Linked DNA regions of Lytechinus pictus. The protein of the gene in region 1 purifies or fractionates together with the protein of each later gene. This does not show direct contact. Links are inferred from orthologs where the notes say so. Each region holds a gene or a part of one and is shown on either strand. Other genes may lie near its edges.

Evidence for each region.
Region 2: the proteins of aprataxin and PNK-like factor (region 1) and DNA ligase 3-like purify together in Homo sapiens (affinity purification with mass spectrometry; 3 studies listed by BioGRID and IntAct, counting the BioPlex papers as one, with this or other methods). This does not show direct contact. The link is inferred for Lytechinus pictus from reciprocal best matches to the Homo sapiens genes APLF and LIG3.

What each region holds. Positions count from the first base shown.
Region 1 is NC_087251.1:25,300,306-25,311,175, reverse strand, and holds the start of aprataxin and PNK-like factor, read right to left. Parts: upstream 5,071-10,870; 5' UTR 4,846-5,070; intron 4,695-4,845; 5' UTR 4,477-4,694; coding exon 4,378-4,476; intron 2,934-4,377; coding exon 2,862-2,933; intron 1,861-2,861; coding exon 1,685-1,860; intron 1-1,684. UniProt on the Homo sapiens protein: Histone chaperone involved in single-strand and double-strand DNA break repair.
Region 2 is NC_087258.1:1,785,107-1,795,534, reverse strand, and holds the start of DNA ligase 3-like, read right to left. Parts: upstream 5,356-10,428; 5' UTR 5,186-5,355; exon of another isoform or gene 4,882-5,185; intron 3,801-4,881; exon of another isoform or gene 2,407-3,800; 5' UTR 2,384-2,406; coding exon 1,813-2,383; intron 1,369-1,812; coding exon 1,252-1,368; intron 566-1,251; coding exon 323-565; intron 198-322; coding exon 91-197; intron 1-90. UniProt on the Homo sapiens protein: Isoform 3 functions as a heterodimer with DNA-repair protein XRCC1 in the nucleus and can correct defective DNA strand-break repair and sister chromatid exchange following treatment with ionizing radiation and alkylating agents.

The DNA.
Region 1 (10,870 bases):
CCTTGGTCATGTGACCTGAAAGTTGATTACTCTTATGTTCAGTGATACTTGATTACTCTTATGTTCAAGTTCTATAAAGTAGACCAATACACTTACAGAGTTATGATGGTAATTCAACAAATATCCCCAACATGTCCAAAGTTTATTGACCTTAAATGACCTTTGACCTTAGTCATGAGACCTGAAACTCGCACAAGATGTTCAGTGATACTTGATTAATCTCCTGTCCAAGTTTCATGAATCAGATCCATAAACTTTTTAAGTTATGATGGTAATTTAACAGATACCCCCAACTTGGCCAAAGTTCATTGACCCTAAATGACCTTGGTCATGTGACTTGAAACACAGGCAGGATGTTCAGTAATACTTGATTAACCTTATTTCCCAGTTTCATGAATTTGGTCCATATACTTTTTAAGTTATGATGACATTTCAAAAACTTAACCTCAGGTTAAGATTTTAAGATTTTTATGTTTATTCCCCCAACATGGTTTAAGTTCATTGACCCTAAATGACCTTTGACCTTGGTCATGTGACCTGAAACTCAAGCAGGATGTTTAGTAATACTTTATTAACCTTATGGCCAAGTATCATGAACTAGGTCCATATACTTTCTAAGTTATGCTGTCATTTCAAAAACTTAAACTTCGGTTAAGATTTGGTGTTGACGCTGCCGCCGTCGGAAAAGTGGCGCCTATAGTCTCACTCTGCTTCGCACGCGAGACAAAAACTGGAAACTTTGTCAGCAGAATAAGAAGATTCTTAAACCCCCATTCCACATACAGCAAAACCTCTGAAAGACTGCTGTAAGATCATGAAACTTGCTTGATCTTTCAAGGGTCCTTCAATGAACTTTCAAAGATCTCTGAGTTCTTTGACGATTTCTGATGGATCTGTCAATGGTCTTCGTGGTCCTCGTGAGTCCCAAAACTTTTTGAAACGGTTCAAAATAGTCTTTCAGCGGTCTTTCGAAGAACTTTCAAAGTTCTGTAGTCTTTCCATGATCTTTCGACATTCCCTCAAGATTTTTACGGAGATCACTGTAAGACTCATGAGAGATCATTGAAAGATCTGTGAAAGATCATTGAAAGACAAGGAAAAGTCCATGGAAAGAATTCTGAAAGATCACTTGTTGCATACAAGATCTCTGAAAGACCATTGAAAGAAATATCCATCAGTCTTTAAGAGTTCTTTGGGGGGTCTTTCTGAGCCATTCCACAGAGATGACAAATTTCAATGGTCTTGGAGACTGCTGTAAGACCTACATGTAGCCAAATTTTGGTATTTCAAAGGTCCTTCAAAGGTATCCCCTCTGTGGAAATGGGGGCCTTAAGGACAAAACTCCCATTGTCTTCTTTAACACCTTTTCCCTTGAAGTAGTACAAAACGATATAAGATATTGCTGTACAGTGATAACCTCATAACAACAAACATTTTTATTGTTTTCACCTGAATTTTCTTCAAACTTTCACCATTTTGCTTTTCATACTTTTCTTTCTCATTTAATAAATCTTTCAATATGGATTAGATTCCCTTTTAGTCGAAGAATGGTTAAAATACTACTAGGAGGCATATTATTTAGAAAACCTAATCATTTGACATTTGAATGTTATCCAATTGCATAATTCTATAAATTTGTGAACAATCTTAGTTGCATTACAGTGCTGTATAATTGTTTTCTTACCTTGGACTCTGGGTTTCTTGCACAATAGGTCTGTAATCAATAACAACTTCAAAGATGTGTTCATCGGGTGTCAGAGCAATACGGTCTCCATGTTTGAGGTCTCGCCATACGTCTTTAGTTAAAGGTGCCAATTTAGTTCCTCCTGCGCCATCAAAGAATGTAGGGTTCGTATGTATCTATAGAAATAACACACATGACAACATTTAGATTGTTGTTAATAATGAGCATCTTGTTGATACCCTAACAAACATGCTCAGGTAATCCTATAATTGTAGACTCGACAATTCATTTACTGCTGTAAGGTCTAAGACTACCGGTAAGTTTTCTTGAAATCAGATATACAGAAAGATATAAACTTGGCCAAATATCTCCTAAGAACAAGCTCAAAAGTTGGACATTCTTTTAAACTTCCAATAAAATTCAGAAATTCAGTTCTGATCATGTGGTTTTCAGGGAGAAAAATAATGTTCAAAGCAATTGGGCAAATTTTTATTTATACAAATATATATCGATTGTGAGAATGTCTCATTATTCAATTAATAATAAATCAATTCACTTTACCATTTAAAAGGGATTTCACTGTATACAAAACAAGAACATGGGTATGCATACAAGTCACAAATTAACCCTGAATATGACCCAGATTGTTCCCCACTTCTGCAACTTCATACTCATACCAGCATAAAGAGTCAGGGCATCCTGCATCCAGAACTGAACCTGATGTACCTTTCTAAATGTACAAAACTTACAGCCATTTCTAAATTCTCATTATTCCAATCTGAAAGCATTTGGGCAATTCCATAAAATATGTACGTCCAACACCATATATGTGAGACCAACAGGAAATTTTCTGTTTCTGATTTCTGGTTCTTTTGACAGTCTGTAATGCTCTCAAATGATCATGACTTGGTTAGTTATGAAGAGAAGTAAGACAGGAGAAAAATGGGGGTCGGATGTACAAAAAGGTTAATCAGTTTACGGAATTGCCCATTTAAAGAATGAAACTCTAATATGAAACTTCACATGTGACAAAAAATATGTTCATCAAGTTTTCAAAGTGCCACAAACTGCAACTCAGATTTTCTCTTCAAAATACATTTTTTTTAATCAATCAGGATGATTATTAACTCTAAAACTGAAAGCTTTAACAATCCCAAAATCATACACCCCAACTTACTGGCATGACTCTGATCTTCCCATCTTCCACTTCAAGAACAGCATGATTTCTAGAGACTCGTTTATCAGCGATCTGCAAATGTAAAAGGTCAATACCAGAGAACAGTGAAACCTTTGTGCATTATTAGATTAAAAATTATAAGGGCAATATGCACTACCAGGTTATTCTAATCAGAAAAAAAGTTTGGCATAACAATAAGTTATTCAAGAGCTCAAACAGAATGTAGCATTGGGTTCCATTTTAAAATGAATATTGAACTAGATGAAATAGATTTTAGACTTTGATTGCTTCTCAATTTCTCTAAAATATATTGGAGTACATTAAAAAGGGATATCTACCCCTAGGTTGGACTCTGAAATCTGTCTATTTGGATTTGTAAAACATTTTTTACTGCTTTGTTTTCTCCACTTACAATGATAGCCAGCCATCTCGGCTCTCGCTCAGTGTAAGGGACCAATGCCCAAGTATTATTCACCCCACAATGGGAGTGTTGATTATTTTAATGATTCTTATATTAAACTCTATGAAATTGCAACATGATGGTGTTGATGAATAGATTAAGATTATTTGCAAAATTTAAATCCTTCATAAACCTATATTATGATGAAACATGTTATATTAATGGTTAAAAAATGAAATCATGATTTTTGGGGGCATAGGTTCGATGTTAAGAGTGTAAGAATGACTGCAGCCTAAGGAGCAGAACAATCCGCGAAACAGACACTGAAGTATTCAGTCTAATCTATTGACACCAAGCTCAAGTTGTTTTTATAAAACTTCAAAAGCAGAAATGAAAGGAGAATATTAAATGTTTGAAAAAGGAAAAGGATCAAAGAATACCACATAGACAGCAGGCATGTCCATAGCAGGGGGGGGGGAGTTATTTCAATTTCCATTTTCCTCCATCTTATCCCTTTTTGCACGTTCACAATTATTTTCATTAACAAGTTTCAATACAAATTACAGCAAAGGTCAGTTGAATTGGAGCTGATAAAGGTAATAAGATGAGACAGACATCTTCTTTTGATTAATCCTAAATATGAATGGGGGTAACTGGGAAGTAGTCTCCATAAGATGTAACTGCAAAAAATATTTTAATTTCAGATTCAGATTAAAATTGCACTGCCGCTGGCTCTGAACTGTTAATTTAATTTTAAATCTAACTTTAAACCAGGGGCGGATCCAGAATTTTTCGAAAGGGGGGGGGGCACATTTTCCCAAGGAAAAATTTGATAACCAAAAAAAAAAAAGGTTTCAACCAAAAATAGTAGATTTCATCCAAGAAAAAAATTGACAAGCAAAAAAAGAAAAAGAAAACAAAAGGTCTTCACTTTTGAAGGGCACACTTACCGGTATGTTTTAACAGCATTTTTTACAAGTTTTAATTGTGCTTCTCAAAGGGGGGGGGGCACGGGCCGGATGTGCTCCCCTGGATCCACCAGTGCTTTAAACATTATAATTTTTAGTCTAAGACTAGGTAACATTAAAAGTAACAGAAGTAGACAGTCAAACTCACCTCAAAGAAAGAACCCCTTCCCAAGTTTGTTTTCCCTAATGGAAGAAGGATGTTTGCTCCACCTGCTTCTTTGATAGGCTTAAGTTCAACACCTGACATTTTCGAATATGCTGAGATTTTACAATCAGAAGCGGGAAGATGTCACCCCTAACAAATGTTTTTCGTTTTCGATTGGATTATCTAGCAGTAGCAGGATACGGACAGGTGAGCTGAGCCGGCCTGCTACAGTGCTACATCGGCGTCGCGTCCCTGGGCAGAGCGCTGGTTGTTCGCGATGTCCCAACGAAAGTCAAGCCAAGGCGTCACTGAGCTGCTAGCTGAGAAGGCAAGGGAGAAAACAATGTATTACAAATGATTTAGGTGAATTATTGGGATTTTTAATCAAAGGAATCCGTAGGAAAGCAATCATAGTAATACAAGTATTAATTTCTCTATGCACATGATATCAAGAACCGTATTTATACTCACGGAAGTTTTCGTTTAAGAGTTTCTCCAAGATGCCATTGTTTAGTATACACGCATTTAGCATACACGCTTTTTAAATTAAAGTAAAAAAATAGCGCAATGAGTACGTCTGCGAGCAGCACACGCGGAGCTATTTGGGTCAATGCGTGTATGTTTCTAAGATTTTCTGCTGCCAACCTCCGTGCCATCAAAGACGCACTTGTACGGCGAGCGCTAGCGTATCACTGTAAACATGAGAGAGTCGGGATCGAGGATTCGGGGCGGTGGAAGAGGCCCAGAGAAGGGGGGGGGGGGGGGTATTATAACGAAAAACTTACCATTTATAAAAATATTAGGGGTAGTTTTTAGCTTAGACATACAGGTAAAACAGAGTATGAATTCTAGAGATATAAAGAGACTTAACCTTAATGGATAAAATACATTATTGTTAAAAACTTTCAAACAAGCCAGATATTTATAAGCGTCCACATGACCACATGATTCAATTCCGCATTTGATATGTCAGGAACTTAATAAATTGTTCTATGATTTTTTTTTTATGGAGAGGAAAATGCACAGTTAATCAAGCGAACTACGATGTGTCTTGATCTTGACTATCAAAGTTCAGAGAATCATGTGGGTCAAACTAGTTATTATTATTGGGAATCAACAAATGAAACTGAAATTGTATTTTTATTATTGTACTCAACATATCAGAGGAATATTCCCCGGAAAATTCTTTTTTCTCCTTTGCAAATATGATATGGCGACAGTTAAAAATGTCTTTATCGCCATTTTATTTAGAGCTATGAAAGCGTGGATATCGAATCAGAGGCTTGAGACAATGATCTGTATAACAATAAAAAAATATAAAGGTATATACTTGTAATGAAGTCATTTTAATAACAAACATATATATAGAGGATTTCCTTTCTATCATGCAGAATAATTTAGTTTGTCTATTTTTAGAGATATTGAAAACATTTGTCTTAGGCCAAGAAAATATTTTATATACACCTTTGGGTTATATAGGGATGACGTATTTATTAAGTCATGTTATTTTGTTATTTCAATCACTTTTGGACGCGGGCCGCGCGTGCTCTCGTTAAAGAGATGGTCCGGGCTGAAAATATTTATATAATACATAAAGTAGAATTCACTGAGCAAAATGCCGAAATTTTCATCAAAATCGGATAACAAATAATCATGTTATTGAAGTTTAAAGTTTAGCAATATTTTGTGAAAACAGTCGTCATGAATATTCATTAGGTGGGCTGATGATGTCACATCTCCACTTTCTGTTTTCTTATGTTATTACATAAAATCTTTTTTTTTTCATTATTTCATACTTGTGTGAATAATATGTCTCCCTTATAATGAAATAAGTTGCAGCAATAAATATATGATGCACTAAATCAGTTGTCAATCCATTTTTTCTAGTTCTTGGAGGAAAAATTTGAATAAACCTAATTTCATATAATAAAATACAAAAGAACAAGAGGAGATGTGACATCATCAGCCCACCTATTGAATATTCATGACGACTGTTTTCACAAAATATTGCTAAACTTTAAAATTCAATAACTTTGTTATTTGTTATCCGATTTTGATGAAATTTTCGGCATTTTGCTCAGTGAATTATACTCTATTTATTAAGCTATACATACTTACAGCCCGGACCATCCCTTTAAGGGTAATAAAAACAAAGATTTTCAAGAAAAAGGGTGGTTTTAGACTGGTAAATAATTGTCAATCACGTGATTCATGCAGGGTATGTTTTTTCCCCCTGGGCTTTTTCCTCCTCGTTTCTGAAAAGTGTTCGGATTCTTCTCGATTGTATACAAAACTTGTTGAGGGGTCATATTCTGGCGACAACTTGTTTAGGGGCCAAAATGTGTAAATAAAGCCTGCGAAAAATTTGTTTAGGGGTTATTAAGCACACAGAGAAAAATACGTTTAGGGGATGTTTGGAAATAATTTGGTCACGCATGTGTACAGCAATACATTTGACTGCCCCCCTCCCCCCCGGGGGGGGGGGGGGGGCAGACGATCTTGTTATGAAGCCTATTTTTCGCAACTATAGGGAGTATTATAATGATGACATAGCTCTCTCATGTCTATACTCTTATAGCTTTATTTTCTTCCTTTTATTTCACTAAAAGGTGTGGTCGGCGGCCTATCTTCTCCCCATGACTGTACACTATAAAAAAATATTGGGTAAACGGAAATGCTCCATGAGGGCAATTATGCGTCTAACCAACATTGTGCATTTCTTTTGGGCATTTTCATTTATCCAGTGTGATGAAATTTTGCCCATTCTAAAGTAATTGCTGCTTATTTTTTAAACCTTACTGGACAATATGCTTCCCGCATTGGGTAAAATACTGCCCCAAATGTATTGGACACATACATGTAATTACCCTCGTGCTGGTTAAAATTTTACCAAATATGTTTTACAGTGTACGTGTAGGCATTATCATGGGGCCTATCATCTACAGGAACAAAATTGACAAAGAAGTTGATGACCGGCTTTTCCATATGACTCTCCATTCTATAGGAGATTGAATTCCGAAAGTAAACGCCTGAAGAGGACATTCCGCAACTAACATCTTGAGATTATATATATTTTTTTTTTTGGGGGGGCAGGGTGGGGGCAAAGTTTGAACAAAATATTTTGTGAGGGTACACACTATAAATTCAGATTCAAAGGCGGCAAAGTATACGGACGTTTTCTGCTAACAATCCATGATTTGGGCAAGATCATTTTTAAATACCACCTATTCATAATTTCAATTTCACCATTCATAATTTGAATAAAGGCCGATATTCATTGCAACCACTTCCTGCTTTGAGAAAATGACAAAAATTCATCATAGCACTCATATAAACAGAATTTATTGGTAATAATGACATCTGAAAAGAAGGGTAATACATCTGCTGTAGCTTTCAATAAATACAAGAAGAGGGAAACTATAGGGATCACTATTCATTTTCAGATAAGGAATTAACATATATTTTGATGATCTAATCAGAGGATTCAATTCAAAACTCAAGAAAATGGTTACTTCGCTCAAATTGTATTAAACTAAGAAAACATGTTCGGAGTTGGCTTGGAATAGGCGCAGAGTAAATCCAAAGCTTATAATTTGGCTTTTTGTGATTTCAGTTGTATGCTTTGAACAAAAAAAATAACCACAAGAAGTAAATTGATATTAATTTAATAATTTATTCAAATGATTATTATCATCATCATCATTGATTTGAAGGATGTAAGTGAAAGTGAGGAAATCACCTACATTTTATTTAGGTAGCTTACAAAATTCAGATTTACAATAAAATCAAATGAACGAAAATAGAAATAGAAAAAAATAAATGATTAAATACAATACTGTGACACACAATATAGGACAGGTAGGAATATCAGACATGCATTTACAAGGTCTACATCCTAACCATTTGCTAATCTTTATCCGTCTGCAATGACTTTTTACATCAATTTTGGTTATCAGAATTCTAAAAACATTTTGGTTGACCACAGCTGTTCTGCCAAGCCTAGCAGTATGACTTCTGATAACATGTAAATGTTAAGTGCTATATAATCATAAACAATTATATCATTATTATTCAACATATTGTAGAGCACTTAAATACTTTTGATAGATTAGGTGTTCAACTTTTAACCAGTATAATTATATGCAACACATCAGATCTCTGGGATCATGGAAATAATTTGCATAATAAATCAATTCCGCTGAATCTATTCAAAATTTCAACTCATACCTCCCTTGAGTGCTCATTAGAATAGTATACTAAACATTGAAAATACAAACAACACACAAAAGTAAATGCAGTTGTCCTCATAATGACTGCAGATTCTTGACTTTAAATCTAAACTTTACCATTAGCATCATTGAGCATCATCATCACCTTAGACCCTTAAGAAATATCATCATCAGTAAGTAAATCCTATAACTGGAGTAAACAAACTGATTCAGAGAACATTTCCTAGTTGACATCAATACAATAGTCAGTCATTGCACCTGTATATTTATATATACTTATTTTTCTCTGACACATGCATGTAAGTTGAATTTTTACTTTTGTAACAAGTCTACAATTGCTTTCTCCCTCCCTCTTTCTCTCTCTATCCACCCCTCTCTATGCTTTAAACTATATTTAGCTCTGTAATAATGTAAAATTATTGTATAAAGCAGAGACTTATCTACCTCATGGTATGGCTGTTTATGTTTTGGGTTGTTTATCTGTGTTTAAAGGTCAAGTCCACCTCAGAAAAATGTTGATTTGAATCAATAGAGCAAAATCAGACAAGCACAATGCTAAAAATTTCATCAAAATCGGATGTAAAATAAGAAAGTTATGACATTTCAAAGTTTCGCTTATTTTTAACAAAATAGTTATATGAACGAGCCAGTTACATCTAAATGAGAGAGTCTATGATGTCACTCACTCACTATTTCTTTTGTTTTTTATTGTTTGAATGATACAATATTTCAATTTTTACGAATTTGACGATTAGGACCTCCTTGCCTGAAGCACAAAATGTTAAAATAATGGAATTCCACGTGTTCAGTGAGGAATGAAACTTCATTTCACATGACAATGACGAGAAAATCAAAATATTTCATATTTCATATAATAGAATACAAAAGAAATAGTGAGTGAGTGATGTCATCAGCTCCCTCATTTGCATACCGACCGAGATGTGCATATAACTGTTTTGTGAAATGAAGCGAAAATTTAAAATGTCATAACTTTCTTATTTTACATCCGATTTTGATGAAATTTTCAGTGTTATGCTTGTTGAATTTTTCTCTTTTTATTCAAATCAATTGTTTGTTGGGGTGGACTTGTCCTTTAATGATCATTTTCTTGTCAAGTGCAAGATTATACAATACACTCTGTAGCTTCAAATGAATCTTAAACCATTACCACATCATTACCATGACAATTTGATTGTTCGAAACAAAATGGGTTTATATATATCAAATTGATTAATTTCACTCTTTAACAATATTGCCAAGAAATAAAGGGATTGTAGTACATGACTACACGTTCACATAGATTTATGGAAACATTCCAGGTGGGTGTTTCATAAAGCTGTTTGTACGTTACGAGCAATTTTATGAACGACTGGTGATTATTTTTTTTGTGATAAGTGATATACACAAAATTTTCATTGAAGTTAATTCAGCGCCTACGAAAGGGTAATTAAGTGAGTTGTTCGTAAAGTCACTCGTATCTTACAAACAGCTTTATGAAACACCTACCTGCATCTGATAATTAGCATATGATCACTGTAATACACATGTATGTACCTCAACACACATAAATGTTCAATTGCTTCATCAAAAGGTATACTAAACATAAAGTATAGTACTCATTCTTTTCTAATACTTTTCTTTGGCTTTTTTAGTCAGTGGAAATAAAACAGATTAAAAATTTTGAAACAACTCTGCTACCCAAATTAACATTTTAACCCATGGTAAGCACAACCGTTTAACGGTAACTTGCCTTTTTTTTTATTGTGCCAGCTAGATCTGATGACATAACATGAAACAAATTAATGTTAACACCAGACATCACCAGGATTTTTTTCATTAAGTTTTGTCAGTTAAAGGGGCTTTACATTTCATAATTCATTTCATACTTGAATCACCTCACTTTTCCCAACCATGACAATGAATAACAAAAGAGAAATCAAGCCTTAGCCATTTTATATGAATCAACGCTACATGTAAAGCAGATAGGTGTGTGGAGGGGAGTGCATTGGCGCTCCAGGGAGTCTTTTGTGCAAGGAAACAAGTTATAAGGTAGAGAATATCTTCCAATCAATCTTCTTAGCTAAATTTCATGTGCTCTTCAAATTTTATCCACATAACTTTTACAAGTTTTGCCCAAATCGTTCTTTTAACTTTTTAAAGTAAGTGGTGGGCACTCAAGTGGAAATATTCACTGACAGTCAGGCCTGTAAAAATGTATAAAAATGGAAAAGCTTCAGGATATTACAAATATATCACTTTATTGGATT
Region 2 (10,428 bases), on another chromosome or scaffold:
TCTTAATATTATAAATGAAAAGGTAATATCACTGGGTCCAACTAAGCATGTCAACCCATAAAACTTTGGCGAAAATAGATGACATCTTACCTGACTAAAAAGCTTGACCAGTTGTTTGCTGTTGATGTTGTAGACTCTCTTCACTACACCAGGAAGGAGCAGCTTCAGTACAAGGTAAGTATCACCTTGAAAGGATTCTGTAATGAGAATATTAATAAAGCATAATGTAGACAAGCTGCAATAATAACTGTTAATCAGAGATGGAAGAACAGTAAGCCCAGTTATCATATCACATCTTTCCACACATCTCTCTTGTACTTACGTCCATCAGAGCCACTCTTTAGAAACCCAGCAACGACTCTGGTCTTCGCATGGTGGCCAGCCTGGTCTGCAATATTGGCACAGAGCTTGCGGTACTCTCGGAATGAATTGTCTGGATGTTGGGGGTCACTGCCGTCCCCTTGGTAAGAGATTTTGGAGGGGGTTGGTGATGGGGTGGCAGAGGAGGAGGATGCTGCAGCAGAACTCGATGAGGTGTGGTGAGAGGATGCGGGCTGGCTAGTACCTGTAATCACAAAAGAATTGATGAAAGAGTTCAGATTATTATCATAATCATAATCATGATTATCTTTATCATCACCATCATCATCATCATCATCATCACCATCACCATCATCATCATCACCATCAACATAATCATCATCACTACAACTTCACCCTCAATCGTCCCATCTTGTGCAGTTGGGCCTTTCGCCTATCAAGTCCTTCAAATTTGTCAAACAAGAAACAGATCAGCATATAACTTACAATATCTTCAAGTGAAATCTTGATTTAGACTGACTGTTCAGCTTTGTTGCAAATGTAGTTGCAATAATAGTTTACCAACCACTGATAGCACATTTATCGATGGGATAAATTCTTGCAGGAGGGGCTTGTTCAAATTAGCTTCAATGCAAAGACTATTATTCATATTTTGCAATTCAATCCAATTCAAAAACACTTCCTTGAATGTTGTGATAACATTCAAGGATTACTTCCTGTTTGGTAACATTAAATATGCCGGTACCTAGATCTTCTGATTTTTCTTTCAGCCCATATTCTTCATTTCCCTCTTAAAAGCCATTTTTTTACATTATGTGACTGAAATATTTTTATATCTAGCCAACATTCCTCCCTTATACAAATTGCTTTCACAAGACCTGCTTCTTCAGAATCTAGTAAGAATCATTTCACATTTCCTTACAGACTTACTTGATTTTGGATGTTTGGATGGGGATAAAACTTGACCGCCTGTTGTAAGGACACCTTGAACTGTGCCTTTCTTCTTGGTTGGCGTTTTCTTGGGCGTTTTGACTCTGGACAATAGCTCTGTGTATGAAAAGATCCAGAAAACAAAAAAAGTACATTTAAATGATTGTTTATTAAAATCATGAAACTAGGGTAAAGGAAGAAGAAAACAAGAAAACAGTAAAATGACAATGAGTGAGAAAAGGAAGAACAAAGACAAAGGGAGGGGAAGACTGCCTACATGAGGAAATATGGCCAGATTCCAAATTCACAAATATTCTCAGGTTTCAACTGCACAAATACATTGAACATTCTCATTAAGATCAATAATGAAAGGTGCTGGAAATGGCGGGATGATGTTTCAACGGCCAGAAGATAATATAAGCAATAGGCAAAAAAGGGGGAATAAACTAAAACGCATTTAAGTAGCTGACAAAAATTCAATGTCTGTAACTAACTACATGTATGAACAACTTATATTTTTCAGATTTCAGAAACATGTCAAAGTAAACGTGACATTCTCACCTTCTATGTTCTTTCGGATTAATTTCTTCTCCTCGTCCTCCATCTTCTCAAAACCATCCAAGTCGCTTGGATCCTCAATCTTCTTCGTTGTCGCCCTCGCCCGAACAAACGTCTCAAACACACAGTTGATGTGGAAATAGTTCTTCATCATGCCCCCATCGTCACTGAAAGGATTTGCTGTGAGTTTGGCAATCCTGGGTGACTTCTTCTCGATCCCCTGCTTGCATCGCTTGCATTTTGATGTCCCAAGGCGGGCATAGTCAACCATGAAGGCTTTCTCATCATCCATTCCTGAAGCTGTCTTTGACAAAAGAGTACTAACCCTTGAAGAGGAACCAATCAGACCTAGGATTCGTTCTGCTTCTCTTATGAATTTGAATGAAAGTGCACTGCTTCGATAGGACTTTGGAAATTCAGGTTGTCTACAGGAGCAAGTGTCATATGTTAGTTGAAGATCAACAGTGAATGACACCGAGGTGTGATAAACTAGATGTTGCTGACCATGCCTTGCAGAAGCTCCTTTTAATGCAGTCCAACCACGATGGAATGCGGTGTAAACCTTAGATCTCATAGATCCACATCACCTGAATATCACTGTGATCAAAGAGAAATAAAAAACATAAGATAGTTACCAAACCTTCTTCTTATTCCTCCAACTCCCTATCAAAATGATAAATCATCACCATTACACACATGCCTATTCTCCTATAAAAGCCCATTTTATTTGGTAAACTCTCTTGAAAGTGTTGGTTCCTCCAGTTTACTACATGTATTTATGAATATGTAGGACTATGTCCTAATACTGTTATCGTGTGAATGCCATGAAATAAAAACACATGTTACTAAGTTAGATGGTGAATTTTTGTAATTTTGTAATTTTTTTATTTTGGTGGGGGGGATAGGTTAGTCTATAAGCAGATTAGGCAAAAATAATGGTCTTCGCTAAAGTAGGCGTAAGTTCACAAATATAGATCTCACAGCCTGCAATGTATATTTATTCATAAGTTAAAAACATATGTACATGTAGATGTCATAGCCTATATCTGTAGATGATGTATCTCAGGCAGCATTATTCCAGATGCCGAAATAAAATAAAGATAAAGAACTTTATATGTAGGCCCTAGGACTGGTCTCTATCTACTAATGGTCACTGCGCCCACTTTCAATCTTTTGTTGTTGTTGTTCGTTGTGAGCCTGTTTCATGCCCTAGTAGCCTCCTCAGCTCAGTAGACACTTAGTGTTGAGAACTCAAAGGTAGAAAATGTGCTAGGTAATTATTTTGTTGGTAAGCTTTTAAAAACTAAGTTAAGAAATACAAAAGAAATTAACTGGGAGCTACAGCTCACAAGTTCTTATGAACTTTTCAGTAGTTTCCGTTTTTCTCTCATACATGTAATTTTCATTCTTTATACATATTTGCATATTGTTTTTTATATTGGTGAGAAAATAAATAAATTGAACTTGAACAAAAGAAATTAAAAGGAAATTATGTTGTCATTTTTTTTTATCTTATGTTAAATATTAAATGTCAAAATTAATCTTTTTCACCAAAAATTAGTATTACTAGCAAAATGAGAAATTTAAAGTGAGCTAAAATTAAAAAAGGCAAATGTGATTTTCATATGCTTTTATTTGCATAGAATTAAAAAAAAATTAATTAAAAAATATACAATTTTTTACAAAATTATTTTTAAATTTATCATTGTCTTGACTCTTGTACTTTTTTGTAGTCAACATCCGACATTAGATCTACACCCTTGCAAATTTTCATGGCGATCGTGTAATCACTAAAAAAGACACTAATCAGTCATTCATTCAGTGTTCAAAGTGAAATTGGCATGCTATCGATCAAACTCAATTTTAACAACATTACTTATCTAATACTAAGTTAGTCAAAAGTTACACTGCACTCTGTCGATGTCAGCTGTGAGTGTGACTTTTCTTTGCAGCCGGCCCGGCACTTTTTTTGTCGTCTTCTTCTTCTTCTTCTTCAAGCTACACTGCCTCCTTCAATCCTGGAGATTCTTGCAGTATTGTAGTACCGGGGACCGGCAGGTGCAATACACCGGGTGAACACCCTACTCTTTGACGAATAGTGTATATTGGTTTTAACGTGCATAGGTTGTGACTCTCCTATACACGGGACCAACATTTGCGTCCTTTCCGATGGACGGAGTGTTTTCCAACTGCATTCACACCCGCACTGAACACAGCGGCGAGGCACGTTAACACACAACGCTAGCATCAGTTTTTTTGTTAGACGTCTTCCGGCATGCTGCGGGACTCGAACCCACGCACGTTGAGATCTACGATCTTATCCGGAACAGGCGCTCTAACCGACTGAGCTACACCGCCTCCCTGTCTTAACTCTTAATAGGGTGTCTGAAGCCACACTGAAAAGTGTCAGCATAAGACAGGCTGATTTAGGGGAAAATATGGAACATTTTTTTCGGGAAGTTCAGGCTACTAGAAAAATGTGATCTGAATTGATTATTAACTTGTGTTTGGCATGTATGGAAAGAGAAAATTCAGGGGCTTCTTTTGACAGTAAGGACAAGTTTATATGATCATTTTGAATAAGGATTTAGAGATAAATTGCAAACCCTTATTTTTGTGTGTGTTGAGATTGCCATTTCCCCATGCGTTTTCTATGGGAAAATGAAATTTCTGTTTTGCACAATTTTTTCACTTTGTCGCAATTTTTCATTGTGATCTGGTTTCCAAATCTTTATAAAAATCATACCATCAGAAAGAGCATAAAAATCCTATTGGACTCTTTATGGACAAGTTTTTGGCATTAATAATAAATTTATAACAGCTCTCGGAAGCTAAAAATTTGGATTTGTGTGTGTCCATTTCTTAACTACACAGTATGGCAGAGAAATGCTGAAAATTGACCTAATTTCATTCTTCTTTTTTGCAGCCAATAATCAGATTTTTTTCAAAAATGTTACATTTCTGTCAGTCTGAAGGTCATTTCTCTTCAAATTCACAAAGAAAATGTGATATTTTCTTGAAATAAGAAAAATAATATTTTTCTCCAGACACCCTAGGCCTACTCTTAATTACAATACAATTACAAATACAAACACCATATCACGGTCAGAGTCACATCTTTGCATTACACTTAAACATATTGAAAATATATAGTAAAAAAAATCATTCATGCCGTTTTTGAAAACATTAAACATTCAGCTCTCAACTCAAGCTCAAGGAAACGTGAGATTGGCCATTCACTTGCGTGCAAAATAAATCGCACATGCCGGTAATTAAACCGGCATCCACTTTTTATTGCATAGGCGGCAAGCACCGAGTACCAGATCAGAAAGCACACTCTTCACCTCTTGCATTTTCTGAGGAGGAAAATCCTTACATTAATGATGGAAAACACTGAACACTCCAGAAATCGGCACGGCTGAAGTCCATGTAAAACTGATCTTTACTCCAGGAAAGCAGTTAGATTTATAGTTCACTCCGAGAGTTCAGTCAATGATGCATGGTGCGATGATACACCACTACTTGTCCAATCATGCCCAAAACAATAACGTAATCGCTAAATGCGTTTTCGCGTTGGTGTTTGGACGTGTACCCTTTGCGTGTACCAGCCAGCTGCGTGTGTTGCATTTAGTCTGCAAACACAGACTCCTATTTGAATAATCATGTCTAGAGTGAAGCTGAGGTGAAGCCTATAAACTTCAAACTCTTTTTCTGTCTCTTTGTAGAGCCATCCATAGTATTCAGTGAATATAGTCTCACTAATTCAGACTATGCATATTGCATATATGCACTATGCGAATTGTGAAATCAAAGGGTTTGTGTCTGCAGACTATGTTGTATGAATTGCCAATATACGTCGAGACCTTACCATGCGTTGCATGGAAGTTGTATTAATCAATTGCAATCAATTACTAGTCAAATTTTGGTTAGAAAATCAGTCACAATTAATAAATCTGGCAATTATTGCGAATCCACACTTGATTGCTGATCTCCTTCTTTTAACAAGTAGTTAAAATAATATCATTATCAATTGTAGATTAATTTAGCAGCAAAAATTTGCAACTGATTGCATGCAAGTTTCTTTAGCACCGCGGGCTTAAGCAACACATGAGCCGAGTCAAGGCCGGGTGGATAGGCTAGGCATAAGGTATCACAGGCCTAATTCAATCCCCATAGACTCGTGTGTTAAAGTGGTACCTAAAAAGAATTCCTTAAAAATAAGGAGGAAATTCGAGGGTTGAATGTTTACTATCAGTGGATAGGATAAATGTCTGACATTCCATATCTGACCAGAAAAGGGTACCTCGACCGGCTCATTTTAAAAATAAATCAGCATTTATGAAGATCTACGGGATCAAATTCATCACTTGAGATCGAGAGTCAAATGGCCCTAATTCTTCCGCCCGTAAAAATTTAGTTCCATAGTGGTTATATATCTTTCCAATTTGGAAAAAAAGAAGTTCAGTACTACCCACTGGGCAATTTGTTACCGATTACCAATTTTACCGGTAATATCACCCGGAAATTTGAGTAACACCAAATATTACCGTTAATTATTACCATGTTATTACCGAAATTATAATTCCTGTTGATACCTGTTACTGTAATTATCACCCTGATGAAACCTACATTTACCTAGTTACAACAGGGTGATGAGGGGTAATAAGGGTAATGTTGAATGAGGTGGTCTTGCACGATTTCCTAGGAACTTTTCTTTCCTATCTTTCCTTTACTTTTTTTAACTGATATAGATTGAACAAAGAAATTATTCTTTTTGAAAAAAAAAGGGAAAGCAAATTTACAAGGCAACAATAGTCAAAACTGACTAGTTTGCCTATTTAAAATAACAACAACAACAACAAACTTTGATTGGTTATAACATTGCAAACTTTAGTAATAAGAGCAATCTTACAGCAATCCCAGCGAAATTTTCAAAGTCCAAAAAATTACTGTTATCACCCTGATGAAACCAACATTTTACCCAGTTACAAACAGGTTGATAAGGGGTAATGGGTAATGTTGAAACGCTTCCATTCCCAGACAGCAAAGTATCTGGATCACATACGGTTCTTATCTGGGATATCTGGGTCCCATATGGGCCCACATGGAACCCAGATGAAAACATATACTTGAACCCACATGGTGCCCAACAGTGGCGTAACTACGGGGGGGCATGGGGGGGCACGTGCCCCCCCCCCCCCCCAATCGGCTGACACACAAAAAAAAAAAACGGGGAAAAGGAGAAAAAGAGGGAGAAAGGAAGAGGAACGTAGTGGGAAAGAAGAAATTATTATTCATTATAATTGTATATTGTATTACAATCATGTTGTTATTTTACATAGGAAACATTTTTATCATAACTTTATGAAACATAATTTGCTCAGGGTCCATGTCTTCACTGTTCCTGGTGCTCGCATTGTCTGTTTAAAGAGATATATAAACCTGTTGTACGAAAACCTCCCGTTTTCAAGTCAATATACACCAAATATATTATTGTTTTATATAGTGACATATGGTTCTTTTTCATGACTACTTAAAGTGATTGCCCCATGTTAAGGTCTTAATATAAAACATTTCCTGTCCGTGATTACGTTCGCTTCAGTGGATTGGTGAGATATGTCTGCTCTCCATGAATTCCTAAAATCAGTCCTTGAAATATCCCTTTTTCTGCATGAGTCTAAATATCCAAAATTTTCAGCTCGCGCTTCGCGCTCGCATCAGTTGGTTAGTGAAATACGTATGGTCTTCGTGAATTCCTACAAACAAGCCTTAGACTGCCCCGCTTCAGGTCTGAATTATCTAAATTTTCAGCTCGCGCTTCGCGCTCGCAATATTTGATTAGTGAGATGCGTATGATAATCATGATTACATTGACTACAAAAAGTGCTTCATGTGTTCAGATGTGATTCTAACAAAATCAGCAAGCACCTGGCACTCGCATTACATGACTGTAGTGAAATATGTATACTCTTAATGGGTTCCTTTAAAAAAATCCTGTTTTGGGTCAATATATACACAAATTTCAGCTCGTGCTTCGCGCTCGCATCATTTGGTTATTGAAGTACGTATGGTTTCGCTAATTCCTACAAACAAGCCTTAAATTGCCCCTCTTCATGTTTGAAATTCCTAATTTTTTAGCTCGCGCTTCGCACTCGCAATATTTGATTAGTGAGATGCCTATGTTATTCATTATTACAATGACTACAAGTGTTTCATATGTGTTTAAATGTAATTCTAACAAAATCAGCAAGCGCTTGGCACTCGCATTAGATGACTATGGTGAGATATGTATAATATTAAGAGATTCCTAAAATATAGTCCTTAAGATCTCCCTGTTTGTGATCAATATATACAAAAATTTTCGGCTCGCGCTTCGCGCTCGCATTGTTTAGCGAGACAGGTACGTATCATGATCACAAAAATTCGATTGTTAAGTCCCTTTTTAGGTCTGAATATCAAAAATTTTCAGCTCGCGCTTCGCGCTCGCATTATTTGATTGCTGAGATGCGTATGTTATTCATGATTACAATGACTACAAGTGCTTCCTCAAAATGTCTCTATTAGGTCAGAGTACCTGACAACTAAGTGACTTAATTTTTTGCTGGTGCCCCCCCAATGCCGTGACCCACGGTACGCCACTGGTGCCCAGATAGGACTCAGATGGAAACGAGACCTCCAACCCATGCGGAACCCATTAATATTGGGTAAATGGAGTAATATCAGATGGTAAAATCAGGAAAATGCTGGGAATATTAGTTACTCATGAATATTCATTACTACAATAAATGGCCAAAATTTTAGCTAATATAGCTGTAATAATTAATATGTTTATGCAATTATTCCACCCAGAAAATTTTCAGAAAAATGTGTAGTTTATATATCATATTAGTCATAATCATGACATTAATTTTAGAAAAATGTTTTAGGGTTGAATAATTGTTAACCATAATTTGTCAAGTGTTGTAAACTCGCTCAATATATAGAAGTAAATGACAGGGTTTGGTGGATAGGTGTAGGATAGGATTAGGATTAGGATGTAGGATTTTAGGATAGGATAAGATGATATGGCTTAGAGTATGGAGTTGTAAAAATGTGCTTCAATGACCCTAATGACACTAATTGTTTTTTTAATGAGCCGACATTAATTGGGTAATATTGGGTAAACAGAGTAATATGAGGTGGTGATATCATTAAAATAACTGGAAATATCGGTTACATCATACTGGGTAATATTGGGTAAATTGAGTAATATCGGGTCCGGGTAATAACGGGGAAAGATTGGTCTACTATTTCCCCGTTACTACCCACTGGTGTTACCGTGGTAATAACTACGTTATTACCTGTTACAACCCGGGTAATATCGGGTAAAATGCCCAGTGGGTAGGTGCCCTCCCTAGAATCAGTGTTAGATTCATAGGCGGATCCAGCTTTTGGCGAAAGGGGGGGGGGGCGCACTGCATGCCGAGCGCGCGGCGCACTTCACCGGCGCCCGAAAGGGGTAAAGTCTGACCCTGTCAAAATAATGCTCTTTTCAAAATGTATAGGATTTCCAGTCATGTCATTTTGCATGACCATACGCAGATAATATTTCCAGGGGGGGGGGCAAGACTCGAAAATTTGGTGCACGTACATCTCACATTTGCACATTTTTCATAGTTTTCATGAAATGTTAAGGGGGAAAAAAAAATCGTTTTTCACAACAGCAGATCGCGAATGTGCCCTCCCCCCCTTCTCCCTTGCTGCGTACGACCATTCCCTGAATTCCACTTAAACATATCTCATTATAACAGAAATATACATCAATTTAAAAATATAATCTTTCTAAAACATAATTATATAGAGAGAGATTGAAAAACTTAATTAAAGAAAGAAACAAGCAAAAAGTAACACAAATTATCATGCATGTTATGTGCGATTTCAAAATCTCGTGTATTAACCCTTTTATTGCGATGAGGCCAATACATTTGTATATTAATAGAAATACAAGCTTTTTTACTATATGTATATATATATATATATATATATATATATACACGGGGGCGTCGATCCTTTTTTTAAGATTTGAGGGGCAAAATCATGAATCAACTTTCCAAAGGCGCTCGATATCACACAAAACAAACAAATTCACACAAACACACACACACATATGCATATATATATATATTTATATGACTCATGAGATAGAAACACATATCTCACCAACAAATTAATGCGAGCGCGAAGCGCGAGCTGAAATTTTTTACTGACCTGAAAACAGGAAAAAGGTGCCTGTTTAGGACTGTTTGTAGTAACTCATGAGGAGGATATACATATCTCACTACACAGATAATGCGAGTGCCGAGGGCGAGCTGAAATTTCTTTATATTCTGACCAGAAAGCTTGATATTCTATGCATTTTTGGTACCAATGATTAAGATGGGTATCTAAAAAAAACAATAGATGCGAGTGCGAAGCGAAAAAAAAATGACAGTTTAATGGATGTTTGTATAATAAAGAACAAGATTATATCCAGGAAAAGATTATTGCAAATCGAAGCGGGAGTTCTTTTGACGTTTAGTCCTGAAAAAGGGACATTCTATTCACCTATTTAATCATGAAAAGTATGGGGTTTTGCTACTG